Linked DNA regions of Alligator mississippiensis. The protein of the gene in region 1 purifies or fractionates together with the protein of each later gene. This does not show direct contact. Links are inferred from orthologs where the notes say so. Each region holds a gene or a part of one and is shown on either strand. Other genes may lie near its edges.

Evidence for each region.
Region 2: the proteins of FASLG (region 1) and SNX9 purify together in Homo sapiens (co-immunoprecipitation; 3 studies listed by BioGRID and IntAct, with this or other methods). This does not show direct contact. The link is inferred for Alligator mississippiensis from reciprocal best matches to the Homo sapiens genes FASLG and SNX9.

What each region holds. Positions count from the first base shown.
Region 1 is NC_081828.1:44,379,623-44,387,341, reverse strand, and holds the start of FASLG (tumor necrosis factor ligand superfamily member 6), read left to right. Parts: upstream 1-4,533; 5' UTR 4,534-4,565; coding exon 4,566-4,949; intron 4,950-5,038; coding exon 5,039-5,084; intron 5,085-7,426; coding exon 7,427-7,492; intron 7,493-7,703; coding exon 7,704-7,719. UniProt on the Homo sapiens protein: Cytokine that binds to TNFRSF6/FAS, a receptor that transduces the apoptotic signal into cells. Involved in cytotoxic T-cell-mediated apoptosis, natural killer cell-mediated apoptosis and in T-cell development.
Region 2 is NC_081824.1:136,046,463-136,054,128, reverse strand, and holds the start of SNX9 (sorting nexin-9), read right to left. Parts: upstream 3,121-7,666; 5' UTR 2,968-3,120; coding exon of another isoform or gene 2,956-2,967; intron 1-2,955. UniProt on the Homo sapiens protein: Involved in endocytosis and intracellular vesicle trafficking, both during interphase and at the end of mitosis. Required for efficient progress through mitosis and cytokinesis. Required for normal formation of the cleavage furrow at the end of mitosis.

The DNA.
Region 1 (7,719 bases):
CTTTATTAATTGCAATAATATATATGAATATATTAAAATTATGAATATATATAGATATTTATATGTAGGTATATATATAGATCTCTCTCTCTCTCTCTCTCTATATATATATATATAGTGAGCTATAGATATATGTATCATATTGAAATATACATATATATATTTTTGTTACTGTAAAGATATATTATTGTGAGGTATTTATCTAATTGTGAGATCTCTCTCTCTCTTATTGTGAGATATCTCTATTTATCTTATTGTGAGAGAGATAGATATCTCACAATAAGATCTATCTATCTATCTATCTATCTATCTCACAATAAGAGATATCTCACAATTAGATAGAGATATCTCTCTTTATCTTATTGTGAGATATCTCACAATGAGATATCTCTCTATCTCACAATTAGATATTTAGAGAGATAGATAGATTCATAGATGTTAGGGTCGGAAGGGACCTCAGTAGATCATCGAGTCTGACCCCCTGCTCTGGGCAAGAAAGAGCGCGGCGGTCAGACGACCCCAGCCAGGTGCTTGTCCATGTCACAACCAAATTAAGTAGTGCCCATGTCACAAACAAGTAAAACCATTCAAAACAGTTTTTTTCTGCACTAGGTTAACTAAGGGTTAACAATAATGATAGTAACCGCTTTTTTGCTGCGCATGTCAAAAAGAAATTTATTGCTGCGCCACTAACAGAGATAAAACTTAGCCTTCTGTGCTGTACATAAATTATTATAATTGGTCAAAGAAAACAAGGAGTAACCCTATGATAACACCCTAGTGAAGACCGCTAGATAATTGGCGATTCTAATTAAATTTATGACGTGGCGAAAAGCAATTGGCTATTACACAAATAAAACCCGTCTTCACTTCCGTGAAGAAGGGGAGACCTCCGCACACACACCTGAAAAACCTCTGAACGTATGCGTGAAAATAACTGACAAATTGATCACTTGTCAATCTCCCCCGTCTCGACCTAATCAGACGTAAATCAACGACCTGCCGGCCCGATTTTTTCTCCATTTATCTGCCTGACCGATGAACTCTTATGCAGACCGACCTATGACCTACGAACCTTAAGCTGTAACTAACCAAGTATCTCTGACCTCCGCTATTCACCACCTTGACGGCGTGAGTAAATAATCTTGCTTTGCAACCGATAAGCGTCCGCCTAATTAATTCCACTCCAAGCATCACAAGTACCTGCCTGACGGCCTTCTAAGGCCCCGGACCCTTATCTGCCCGGGTGGGAGTCAGGGAGAGCTGCTGGCCAGCTGCCCTGGGTCCCGACAGTCCAGTCTCCTCTTGAAGACCCCCAGTGTAGGGGAGAGCACCACCTCCCTCGGAAGCCCATTCCAGATTATGGCAAACTTTACTGTGAAGAAGTTCTTCCTGATGTCCAACCTAAATCTGCTCTCCGTCAATTTGTGGCCATTGTTCCTAGTTACTCCAGGGGGTGCCCTAGTAAACAGAGTATCTCCTATTCCCCGCTGCCCTCCACTGATGAATTTATAAGCAGCCACAAGATCACCTCTCAGCCTTCTCTTGCGAAGGCTGAAGAGATCTAGGTCCCTCAGTCTCTCCTCGTAGGGCCTTGCCTGCAGGCCTCTGATCATATGAGTGGCCTCCTCTGAACCCTCTCAAGATTCTCCACATCCCTTAGTTTCATAGTTTCATAGTCAGTAGGGTTGGAAGGGACCTGAGCAGATCATCAAGTCCGACCTCCTGCCATGGTAAGAAAAAGTACTGGTGTCAAACAACCCCAGGAAGGTGTTCATCTAACCTCCTCTTAAAGACCCCCAGGGTAGGAGCCAGCACCACTTTGCTTGGAAGTTGGTTCCAGATCCTAGCCACCCTGACTGTGAAGTAGCGCCTCCTGATGTCTAGCCTGAATCTACCCTCTGCCAGCTTGTGACCGTTATTTCTAGTCACTCCTGGTAGTGCTCGGGGGAACAGGGACTCCCCCAATGCCTGCTGGTCCCCTCTGACTAGTTTGTAACAGGCCACTAGATCCCCCCTCAGCCTTCTCTTGTGGAGGCTGAACCCGTTCAGGTCCCGTAGCCTCTTCTCATAGGGCTTGCCCTGCTGCCCCCTGATCATGCGGGTGGCCCTCCTCTGGACCCTCTCAATGCTGTCCACATCCCTCCTGAAGTGCGGCACCCAGAACTGGACGCAGTACTCCAACTGCGGCCTGACCAGTGTCACATAGAGGGGGAGGATCACCTCCTTGGACCTGCTCGAGATGCACCTATGGATGCATGGCAAGGTGTGGTTGGCCTTCCTGGCCACGTCCCCACACTGTCAGCCCATGTTCATTTTGGCATCAATAATGACTCCAAGATCCTTCTCTGCCTCTGCACTGATGAGAGGGGAATTCCCCAGCCTGTAGGTCTGCTGCTGGTTTTTCCTCCCCAGGTGCAGCACCTTGCACTTGTCAGTGTTGAAACCCATCCTGTTCTCATCTGCCCACCCCTGTAACCTATCTAGGTCTGATTGCAGCCTATTCCTCCCTTCTAGCATGCCCACATCCCCCCACATCATAGTGTCGTCAGCAAATTTGAATAGGGTGCTTTTTACCTCCTCATCCAAGTCGCTGATGAAGATGTTGAACAGTGCAGGTCCGAGGACCGAGCCCTGGGGAACCCCACTGCCCACATCCCTCCAGGTTGAAAATGCCCTGTCCACCACCACTCTCTGGGTGCGGCCCTCCAGCCAGTTAGTGACCCATTTAACTGTGTAGGTGTCGACACCACAGTCCCCTAGTTTTTTAATGAGAATGGGGTGAGGGACCGTGTCGAAGGCCTTCCTGAAATCCAGGAAGACTAGGTCCACTGCTACACCTGCATCTAAGGATTTTGTGACCTGGTCATAGAAGGCCACCAGGTTGGTCTGACAGGACCTGCCTCTAATGAACCTACGTTGGTTGCCCCTAAGCATAACCTCCCCTGCTGGCCCCTCGTGGACATGCACCAGGATAATTCTCTCAAAAAGCTTCCCCAGGATCGAGGTAAGATTAACTGGCCTATCGTTTCCTGGGTCTTCCTTCCTCCCTTTTTTGAAAATGGGAACCACACTGGCCCTTTTCCAGTCCTCTGGCACCACATCAGAGCACCATGAGCGCTCGTAAAACCATGCCAGGGGTCCCGCAATGACCTCTGCTAATTCCCTCAGCACTCTGGGGTGGAGGTCGTCAGGACCAGCTGATTTAAATACATCCAGTCCCTCCAGAAGTTTCCTGACGAGGTCCTCACTGACCCTGGGCCTAGGTGCACCTCCCCTGGGGCCTGAGGGGGTCCCGGCGGATGGGCTGATCTGGTCCGTGCTCAGGAAAATGGAGGCAAATAAATTGTTAAATAGGTTAGCCTTGTCATCTGGTGCAACAACCTCTTGAAGTACGGCGCCCAAAACTGAACGTAGTACTCCAACTGCAGCCTGACCAGTGTCACACAGAGAGGAAGCATCACCTTCATGAACCTGTTCATCATGCATCTGCTAATGCCTGATCAAGTGTGGTTAGCCTTGTTGATCTCTTCGTCACATTGATGATTCACGTTCTTCTTGGAGTTAGCTATGATTCCAAGACCCCTTTCCGCTGCTGCGCTGCTGAGAAGGCCATCCCCCAGCCTGTAAGCGTGTTGGTGGTTCTTCTTGCCCCAGTGTAGCACTTTGCACTTGTCTTTGTTGAACTGTATCCTATTTCGTTCTGCCCATTTTTCCAACCTGTCCATATCCGCCTGGATCTGTTCCCTACCCTCTGGTGTGTTACCTTTGTCCCATAATTTGGTATCATCTGTGAACTTGGACGGGATGCTCTCTATGCCCTCGTCCAAGTCACTGATGAAGACAGTGAACAGCACTGGTCCCAGGACCAAGCCTTGTGGGACTCCACTGCCCACATCTTTCCAGGTTGATACCCACCCATCCACCACCACTCTCTGGGTGTGAACCCTAAGCCAATTTGCCACCCACCTGACCCTGTAATCCTCTACATCACAGCCTGTCAGTTTATTTATGAGAACAGAATGAGATACCGTATCGAATGCCTTCTTCAAGTCCAGGTAGATGACATCTATCTTGACTCCTGCGTCTAAGCATTTTGTGACCTGGTCATAACAAGATCAAGGTTAGTCAGGCAGGATCTACCTTCAATGAACCTGTGCTGATTTCCTTTCAGCATTATATCCCCTGCGAGGCTCCCTAAGCAGTTTGTGATTAGATAGATAGATAGATAGATAGATAGATAGATAGATAGATAGATAGATAGATAGATATGTCTGTCTGTCTGTCTGTCTGTCTTATTGTGAGATCTCTCTCTCTCATTGTGAGCTATCTATAGATATCTGTATGTTACGCTGATGAAGATAATCTGACCTGCTCTGTCCCCGGACTTGGCTGGGATGCCGTGGCCGTGGCCGTGGCCGTGCGGGCGGACCCGCTGGGTGCGGAGCGCGGCTGCTCGGGCGGGGGCGGGGGGCCGGCGCTGAGGCTCCGGGGGCGGAAGCCGCGGGGTTGGTGCTGCTGCCGCCGGCGCCGCGTTGCAGAGTCTGGCGGGCGGCGGCGGGACGATGCAGGCAGGCAGAGACTGGGCGGGCTTCGGGGGGCGCCGCGCAGAGCCCCCCCGGGCCGCCCCGTCCGCGCCCTTGCCCTTGCCCTTGCCCTTGCCCCTGCACCTGCCCGCCGTGCAGCAGAACCTGAGCTACGTGCCCCGGCCCGAGCTGTGGGTGGACAGCGGTGCCCCGCCGCCGCCGGCGCCGCCCGTGCCGGCCAGGCCCCGCGCCAAGCGCAGCAGCCCCGGCGGGAGCGGGAGCGGGGGCAGGGGCGGCGGCGGCCCGTGCCCCGGCCTGGCGCTGTGGGCGCTGGCGCTGCTGGCGCTGCTGGCGCTGGCGGGAGCGGGGCTCGGCTTGTTCCAGATCGTGCAGCTGCAGAAGGAGCTGGCGGAGCTGCGGGAGGTAAGGCGGAGGGAGGGAGGCCGCCTGTGGCAGGGCTGCTGGGGCCCTGATGCTGTGGTCCCCTGCTGAGTGTCCCTCTCTCTTGGCAGGCCACCAGCCCCGGGCACCTGCCCCCAGCTGCGGAGAAGCACACAGGTGAGAGCCCCTGGGCCGGGGACGTCTGAGCCCTCCCTCGCCTGCTCTGGGGTGAGCCGTGGCCCACCGGCAGCAGGACGTCGCAATACTGTAGTCACTGGGGAGCCTCCTGCCTTCTCCTGGGCCACAGGGCAGGCTTCGCCCTGGACGCTGGGCTGCCTCGGCAAGGAGGTGCCTCCTCGCTTTGGGCAGAGGAGCAGGTGTCCCTTTGCGGGTCACAAGGGCCCGGGGACCCCAGCGCTCTTCTTCTGCGTGAAGGAAGCGTGCCCAGTGCAGACAGGCCAGGCGACCACTGATGAGAGATGGGCCCAGCCCAGGTTCCCAGACCTGAAAACCCAGGAGCAACCGAATCCTGACTTGGATGCCAGCCCCTTGTGAAGCTTGCGCTTCATTAATGAAATGTCTGGCTTCCTTATGTCTGGACCCAGAGGAATAGACTTCCACCTTCAGCTGCCTCTGTGCAAAAATGAAGCTTATTTCTTTACCTATGGGGACTTTTTACCATCTTTAATTTTCCCTGAGAGTCTCAGGAAGGGCGTGCTTGCCCAAAAACTTGCAGAAAAAAATAATTTTTTTGCAGTTCTTTAGTTGGTGTAATAAAAGGTGTTGTCTCTGAACCAAGAGGTCTAGAGTCTTACATTTCTTTTTGTCTCAGACCAACCCTGCTACAAATACAACCCTGGCTTCCTTATTACACTATAAGTGATGCATGTAAGGAGAGAGGGGTGCCTAACACTATTATTTGTCTTCCTCCTCCCTGATGGTTATTTTTTTCTTTTTCCCTTAAAGTACAACATAATTTTCTTAAGTATCTTCTGTATATGTTCCATTGGGGTAACCAAAATTGCCCCAAAGTTTCCTAAGATTTGAAGAATATGGTTTCAATGAAATTGAAAGTTACCATGGGAACATGTACATTTTCATGAAACTTCACGCCAGGAAAAAAAAAAAGCAACCCCTTTTTGGGAAGGCTCTCTTGATTCTTTGCTTCAGAATGACTTTTCATTTTTCAAATTTGATTTTTCTGTCATGAATTGCAAATTGAAAATGGATAGACAACTGAATCTAAAAACGTCTTTTAATTTTTTCTTTAATGAAACATTTTGATGCATCTGAAACAATTTGTATTCCTCAAAATATTGTTTTCTGAGACATTTTGAAATGTTTTGGTTTTGTTCTGATGCAATTTTGAAATTGGGGAATTTCCTGCAAAATGGAAATTCTGATTCCCCCACAATTCTAGTTGTAACTTAGGTTCTTTATCAGCCTTTGGGAGTGAGGACTGTCTGCTTAATTGCACATTCAGTGCCTTGAAGAAGGAGACCCTACTTTCTCCTTGGGTCTCTTGGCACAGCCATAATCTCAAAGAACAAATGCTGATCCACAAATTCTTTAGAATTAAATATTACAGGGGAAATAGTACCCACAAGTATCTGGGTCCCTATAGTGCACATTTGCTTTGGAAAGCTGTTGCCAAAACTAGCTGACATGGGGCACTTTAGTCTCAGTGCACTTTTCTTGTACTGGTCGCATGGTCAACTGACTCAGCTCTCCACTAGGGTCTAAATCAGACTACAGACTCTTCACCTAACACAGTTTTTCCAGTTACTTGGTATCTTAGGAAATTTATCTGCTTTTGCCTTACATTTTTACAGCCCCCTTAAAATTTTATGCTACCTCCCTTTGTAGCAAAGACTTAATAGTTAAGAGCTGTGTATAAGAAGTCTTCAGGTGGCCTCCCAGAGCTAGAAGTTGCAGGAGTGTTGACTGGCACCTTGAATCTGCTCATTGCAATTGGGACATTAGTCCTTGGCCATAATAAACTAATTGTAGATAATTTGTGTATTGCTGCCAGGTCATTTTTGGCTTTGGCAGCTTGGAAGAGAGTTTAGTTTATTATTATTAGTGATGTGGGCTTATACTCTGCATGGACTATGAGAGTGATTCAGTCAGAACAAAGCCCAGAAGTGCAGCTATTTGTGCAATGCTGTCCTGTAGCATATCATGGGGGCAGGGGGGAATCCTTTTTTTAACCCATCTGGTGATCAGTTGCTCTCTCAAATCACAAAGTCTTGTCCCTTCATGTATTTTTTTCTAACTTGTTCTGATCCTTCTATAGTAACAGTCCTCTCTTTAAACTTTCCAGGCTACAGTATTTACCTGAATAGTGTCCCACAGCAGATAGTCCCATAGTTACTAATGCCTGCAGGATGTCTTGCATTATCTATTCCATAGTAAATCTGTCTCTCTAATTCCATGAGGAGTGTCCCTTTCTAATGTCATTTCATTATCAGGTCCTCTTCACAGAATTTGCAGCTAACTCCTTCTTTATTTTTATGCAGGGCTTCCAAATGCAACAGAAAAGATCATGGAAAAGAAAGAGGTCAGGAAAGCAGTACACTTAACGGGTAGGTGATTGAGGGCAGAGAAGCAACATTTGCTGTGTATGAAGAAATTAAACTTCACAGCACCCACTTCTGAAGTCAGTGGGTGTAATTTCCATTTGACAGATGAAGGAGCTGAAGTTACGTGATTTGCCCAAATTACTTTCAGTGGGGACTTGAAAACCGTTAGGCATATGTATTCATCTAACAGCTTCTTGTTCATCTTTGTTTCTAGGCAAATCTGGTCAGAA
Region 2 (7,666 bases), on another chromosome or scaffold:
AATATCAGTGTACTTGACCCACAGGCTCCTATTATAGGTTTTATTTCTGTTGAAAGACTGACTTGAACTAAAAATAAGGCTCCTCCTAAGAAACAGGAGTATTTTCTTTATTAAATAATAGGTCTCTACATTTAAGCTGAGCTAAAGCTCCCTTTATTTAAGGGTCATCACACTGTTTCCAGGTATTTGCAGCACTCCCATCCCCAACCCAATAAAGCTTAAAAGGTAACAAATGGCACAATACAAATTAAATCAAAACCTTGCAAGCTACTGTGGCGATGGAGGTAAATGATAAGCCATTTTTTCTCTAAGAAATCTACTAGTAAACTGAAGAAATTCTGTGAAGCAAACAGCATTTTTCTAGCAAAAAGCTTTACAAGTTTTACTAAAGCCTCCTTGTGAACTTGCAAATCAGAGCAGCATTCACTTTTTCACAAATAGGAAAGCAAAGCAACAGGGAAATTAATGGTAACATTTTCTGAAGCATATGGTACTTTTGGATGCCTCATCATTAGGTATCCAACATGATGCATGCAATATGATTTTCAGGAGTACCAAGTAGTCCTCAATTCAACTGACACAGATTAAAGCTGAGGGCCTTCAGAACCTCTAAACAAAAAAAAAAAAACAAGATCTAAATGTCTGGAATAAGACTCTCAGACGCACCCATGTCCCTCCACTGACAACAACGCTAAAAGGCACTTTAGGGGGAGGGGGGCAGGGCAGGAAACCAATTGGAGAGAGTGCAGAAAGCTCTTCAATTTACTTGACAATAGTACAGCAAGAGCTGATGGCTGAAAGCTTAAAGCTAAACAGTACCAAATTCAAAATAGAGCGCATTTATGAACAGCGAGTTAGTTAACTGCTGGAAGTCTTGACTGAGAGTTGTGACGGAGTTTCCATTTTTTAACATTAAAATTAGCTACTTTTTCAAAAATACAACATTCAAATACAGAAAGTTGTTCGGGGAGGTCCTGTGTTTTTGCAGGTCAGATTAAGATCAGTTGTTCTCAGTGTTTTAGGCACCCCTTGGAAAATGCTAACTTTGCTCTCACTCAGTTTTGAGCGCAGAAAAACAACAGAGGAACTCTTCTGTTGCAAAGAACACAAACACCACATGTCTGAATGTTTCTGATGCTCTGGAATCTTATTGGAAGCCTCTGAGTTTGTCAATCACGTGTCAGTCTTCGTGCTAATAGTAGTAATATTGTGTGGCACCCTTAAAACTTTCTGCTTGAGAATCAATTAACTAGATGATCACAACAGTCTTCTGGCTTAAATCACTGTATATAGAGCATTAAAATGTGGTCTTCTCTCAAAAAACCCCCAAAAAACCTAAACCAACCCTCATCCACCAAGTCACGGTAACACAAATCCGAAACAAGATTTGGTAACATTTTTGCAAGTACCTCCCCAACATTTAGCAGGATCTAATAGGAGTTAGCAAGTTTGAAAGGGGAAGAGGACCGCTTGGGGTAAAGATAACTGTGACAACTAAAATCCTACTTCATATAAGTAAAAAATAGCTAGCTATGTTTCTGAATGGTGTACTGAAGTTGCATGGACCATCAACAATTAAAAGTAGAACCTATTGTTGATAATCTAAAGCATGACAGATAAAGCTTTCTTAAATGTATTGCACGCTAAGGCCAAGGTAACAGGCTACTCTCTTATCAGTATATCAAAACAAAAAGCCAAGTAGGTATTTACACCTGAAAGAAAACCCAGCTTCCCCTCAAAATTAAGGAGATGAAGCTGAAAACTGTTGCAGCTCTACTGCCCACCAGGTAATTGTATTGAAGAGAGTATTCTTCTCTAAACAAGTTACAAACTACGATAAAAGTGGGAAGAAAGACAGAGCACACACTGCTGACCCAGAGTACACTATTGCAAATCTTTATAAAGTACTGTAGTATATAAACTCCAAGATTAAACCGTGCCTCAGTCAGATACCAGTAGCAGAGATATATTTAAATGTTACAATAAGGTAAGAAAAACCCTGAACGAGGTGGTGTTTATGTAGCCCACACCTTTCACTCAAAGTCACATTCCCTCTCCAACAAGTATTCTACTGATTCTAGAAAGTCGATGGCTGAGTGACAGGGACAAGTTTCAGAGGTCATGGATGAAAACCCAATTACAGTCTTGGTTTCTGTGACAGCTACAGCAACAAAGTGCTGGTTTCTTACACTCTTCGCTCACCACATCCAAAGGTGCCCCCAGGACCACCACAACTCTCCACTTCCTTGCTGCAAGACAGCACAGCAACGGCAAAGCGGTCACTTTAGGTTATCTCCTGTCTGAGAGGGCCCTTACTTCAGCAGCTGGTATCAAGAAATGCCCATCGCCTCTCTGAAAGGATAACTGTGGCCTGTGTGTGGCCTGCAGCTCCATGACACAGAACAGCCCTGGCTCCCGCCCGGTCCAGAAGAGCACAAAACAACTGCAGTCACTCCCTCTGCCTGAAGAAGGGTGCTCCTACCCGAAAGCTTGCAAAAAACAGCTTTTCCAACTATTTTCTAATAAAAGAGATCGGGTTTACCCTAAGAACCTCGTCTGCCCGTGCCCTTAGACCAACGGGGCTACAACCAACCCCACGAGTTTCTTCCCTGGCAATCAAACCAATTAAGCGGACAGAGAGTGGCAACAAAAAGCAGCACCTCTCCAGACAGGGCTTCCAACAGCTCCTCCCCAAAACCAAGCCAGCCCTGGCACCCGGGCAGCGCCAGGGGGGGAGCGGGGCGGCAGACTGAGGCGACCAGCGGGCGGGTGCCGCGGGAAAGGGGCCGGGCCGGGGGGCACCCCAGCGGCTGTCCGCCCCGGGCTCTGCGTCCTGGGAGCACGGCCCAGACCGCAGGGAGCCGGGCCCAGGCCCTGCCCGAGGGAGACGGGACCCCAAGCCCGCAGCGGGGGGAAGAGGGGGTCCCGGGGCTGCGGCCCCGGCCTGGTGTTCACCTTGGCGGCCATGGCGGCGGTGCGGGGCCTCCCTCCGCCCGCTCCTGCTCCTCCGTCCGCTCCCGATCCCGGTCCCGCCCGCTGGCGCGGAGGCGGCTCCTACCCTGGCCGCGGCAACCGGGGCAGTGGGGGGCGGGGCCCGGCCTCTGCCCTATCCACGCCCGCTCCCGCCCCCCGCCACGGGCAGCACGGGACCGGGCCGAGGGCGGGATTGGGCCGGGGCTGGTGCCGCGCGCGGCGGGGAGAGCGGCGCTCCGGGGGCCGGGGCCGCCTCAGCCACGTGTGTGTGCGACACAGACAGACAGCTAGTGCGTGCATGCATGCGTGTGGGAGAAGAGGAAGAGTCCGTCCCGTGTGTGAGATACGCGTGTACTGGTGTGCGCACGTGTGTGTTGGTTCGGGCGGGGGAGGAGGACTAGTCCGTCCCGCGTGTGTCCTCTGTGTGTGTGTCTTTGTGTGGGGGAGGAGGAATAGTCTGTCCTCTGTGTGTGTTCACGTGGGGGACAAGTGTATGCATGTGTTTTCATGTGGGGAAGAAATAGTCTGTTGCGTGTGTGCGTGCATGCGTGTGTCTAGGAAAGGAAGAATAGTCCATCCCATTTGTGTGCGTGTGCTGTGTGGAAGGAAGACTAGTGCATCCTGTGTGTGTGCTCATGTGTGGAAAGAGAAATAGTCTGTCCCACGTGTGTCCTGTGTGAGTGTGTTTTTGTGTGGGGGAGGAGGATTAGTTTGTCTCATCTGTGGAGGGGAAAGCTGCTGGCCCACCAGCCATTAGCCTTGAAGCAGGAGTTTCAGAAACCTGCATCTGGAGGAAATTAATCTTCCATGACATCAAGTTTCTTCCACAGCATTTTTTTTTTTGGTCTGTACTTCACTCGTCATCGGCATGTGTCATGTGGGTGGGCCCTGGCAGGCATTGGTAATTATGCAGAGTACTACAGTATCACCTAAGGGACCAACCAGACCGGAGCCCTATTGTATGAGGTGCTGTACACGGATATAGAATAAAGGTTATTCTTAAACCTGCTTAATTTACAGCCTTTGAAAATGAGGTAATGGGTAGATTAAAATGGGGAGGTAGGGAATACAGGGACAGCAATACAAACAAACATCTGCATACACTCACTGTGTGCATAGTTTGTAAATGCAGTGGTAGTGGGAGGGGGCAGCTTTAGCCACATCTTCAATCCCAAGTTAAAGAAATAGGGTAATTATACAGTTGTCCTCAGGAAGTTAGAGAGGGTCCGAAGACGAGCAACAAAAAAGATAAAGGGCAAGCCGTGTGAGATGTTGAAGGAAATAGGCATATTCAGCTTGCAGAAAAGGTGCTTAAGAGGGGACATGATAATAGACTTCAAATATCTGAAGGGCTGCCATCAAGATGAGGGAGAAGACCTTTTCTGTCTTGCTACAAACAGCAGGAACTCAGACCAATGACTTGAAGTTGCAGCAACATAGGTTTATACTGGAGATGAGGAAAAACTATGAACTGTTCAGGAAGGACAGGCAGAGGAGAAGAGGAGGAGTTGCACTTTGTGTAAAAGAGCTGTGTGATTGCTCATAGCTCCAGTATGAAATGAGACAGGCCCACTGAAAGCCTCTGGCTTAGGGTCAGAGGGGAGAGCAACAAGGGTGATGTCGTGGTGGGGGTCTGCTATAGGACCACCAGACCAGGAGGATGAGGTGGACAAGGCTTTCTTCAAACAGCTAGTGGAAATTTCCTGATTGCAGGCCCTGGTTTTCATGGGGGACTTCAATCACCCTGACATCTGCTGGGAGCGCAATACAGCAGTACGCAGGCAATCCATGGAGTTTTTGGAGAGTGCTGGGAACAACTTCCTGGTGCAAGTGAAGGAGTGACCAACTAAGGGCCATGCTCTTCTTGACCTGCTGCTCACAAACAGGGAAGATTTGGTGGGGAATATAGAAGTGGATGGGAACTTGGGCAGCAGCAACCAAAAGGTGACTGAGTTCAGGATCCTGAGGAAAAGGCAGGATGGAGAACAGCAGAGTAAAGACCCTGGACTTAAGAAAATCACCTTTTCACTCAGGGAACTGATGGGCAGGATCCTCTGGGAGGCCAGTCTGATGGGGAAAGGAATCCAGGAGGACTGGTTATGTTTTAAAGAAACTACTTGAGGGTGCAGGAATGAACCATCCCAATGTACAGGAAGACTAATAAGTATGGCAGAAGAGCAGCTTAGCTTAGCAGGAAACTCTTAAATGAGCTAAAACACAGAAAGGAAGCTTATAAGAAATGGAAACTTGGACAGACTAGGGAGGGGAGTATAAGAGAACTGCATGGGCATGCAGGAATGACAATCACGAAGGTCAAAGCACGGCTAGAGTTGCAGCTAGCAAGGGACATGGAGGGTAACAAGAAGGGTTTCTACAAGTATGTCAGTAACAAGAGGAAGATCAGGGAAAATGTGGGTCCCTTAGAATGGGGAGGCAGCCTAGTGACAGAGGATGTGGAAAAGTTTGAAGTACTCAATGCCTTTTTCAGCTCAGTCTTTACAGGCAAGGTCAGCCCCCAAACTACTGCACTGGGCAGCACAATTTGGGGAGGAGGTGAGCAGCTGGCAGTGGTGAAAGAACAGGTTAAGGACTAATTAGAAAAGGTGGATGTGTACAAGTCCACAGGACTGAATGGGATGCACCCAAGAGTGCTGAGGGAGGTGGCCAATGCGATTGCAGAGCGTCTGGCCATGATCTTTGAAAACTCATCGTGGTCAGGGGAGGTCCTGGATGATAGGAAAAGGGCAAATATAGTGCCCATCTTTAAGAAAGGGAAGAAAAAGGATCTAGGGAACTACAGACTAATCAGCCTCACCTCAGTCTCTGAATAATAGAATCATAGAAAATTAGTTTGGAAGGGACCTCATGAGGTCATCTAGCCTAACCCCCTGCTCACAGCAGAACCATCCCCAACTAGATCATCCCAACCAAGGCTTTGTCTAGCCAAGTCTTAAAAACCTCCAAGAATGGAGGTTCCACAACCTCTCTGGATAACCTGTTCTAACGCTTTACTACCCTGCTAGTGAGAGAGTTTTTCCCAATATCTAACCTAAATTTCCCTTGCTGCAACTTGAGACCATTGGTCCTTGTTCTGCCATCACTGAGAACAGTCCAGCTCCATCCTCTTTGGAACCCCTCATCAGGTAGTTGAAGGCTGTTATCCAATTCCCCTCAGTCTTCTTTCTCCTCTCCAAACTAAATAAGGCCAGATCCCTCACACTTTCTTCATAAGTCAGGTGCCCCAGCCCCTTCACCATTGTTGTTGCCTTCTGCTGAACTCTCCCATTTGTCTACATCCTTTCTGTAGTGGGAGCCCCAGAACTGGACACAGTACTCCAGATGTGGCCTCACCAGTGCCAAATAGAAGGAAAGAATCACTGATCTGCTGGCAACACTCCTACTAATCCAGCCCAGTATACTCTTAGCCTTCTTGGCAACAAGGGCACACTGTTGGCTCATATTCAGCTTATTGTTCCCCAGGTCATTTTCTGCAGAGCTGCTGCCCAGCCAGTCAGCCCCCAGCCTGTACTGGGACATGGGATTGCTCTGTCCTAAGTGCAGGACTTTGCACTCGTCCTTATTGAACCTCATAAGATTTCTTTTGGTCCAATCCTTCAATTTGTTGAGGTCTCTCTGTCTGAATCCTAACTCTACCCTCCAGCATGTCTACTACTCCCCCCCAGCTTGGTGTCATCTGCAAACTTGCAGTGGGTACGCTCTATGCCATCTTCCAGGTTACTAATGAAGATATTGAACAAAATTAGTCCCAGGACTGACTCCTGAGGCACTCCACTTGATACTAGCTGCCAAGTAGACATCAAGCCATTGACTACTATCCTCTGAGCCCGATGATCCAGCCAGGTTTCTATCCACTGTATAGTCCATTCATCTAGCCCATACTTCCTTAGCTTCCTTAGCTTGCTTGCAAGAATGTTGTGGGAAACCATATCAAAAGCCTTGCTAAAGTCAATGTATACCACATCCACAGAACCAGTCATCACATCATAGGAAGCAGTCAGGTTGGTCAGGCATGACTTGCCCTTGGTGGATCCATGCTGACTGTTCCTAATTATTTTCTCCTCCAGGTGTTTAGAGTGTTTGTCAATACCCCCCACCCCCAGCTCATCAAAACTCCCTAAGTGGCTCTGTCTCAGGCTTGGCCAGGTGGGGAGCAGCATCTGGGAGTGGGGCAGGCAGGCAGGGTTAAGGCAGAGCACTGGCTCATGGGCAAGGGCATATGGGGAACAGATTGTGACTCTTCCCTGGGCCCCAGCCCCATGTTGACTCCAGCAATCCCAGGTTCTCCATGAAAACCAGCCAAGGTCCGCGTGGGCAGGGTACATCACTGGGCAGATGGGATGGGGTCATGGGCAAGCAGAGAGCGTCTGGCAGTGGGATGGGTGGGCAGGGACTTGTGGGCAATGGATTGTGGCTCTCCCCTGGGCCCCAGCCCTGCACAGTCACCACTCAGCAATCCTGATCTCATCCCTGGCCCTGCCTGTCCGCAGCCCTATCTGGGCCAGTCTCCATGGTGACCCTGCCCACGTGATCCATCCGCAGTGCCTGACAGTGGGTACAGGGCAGATGGGCCTAGATGCCCAGGCAGCAGAGCTGAGTCCAGCAGTGGAGAGTGGCAGCAGCAGCTGGAAGGAGCTGCCACCACCAGGACGGCCAGGAAGCAAATCCAGCCATT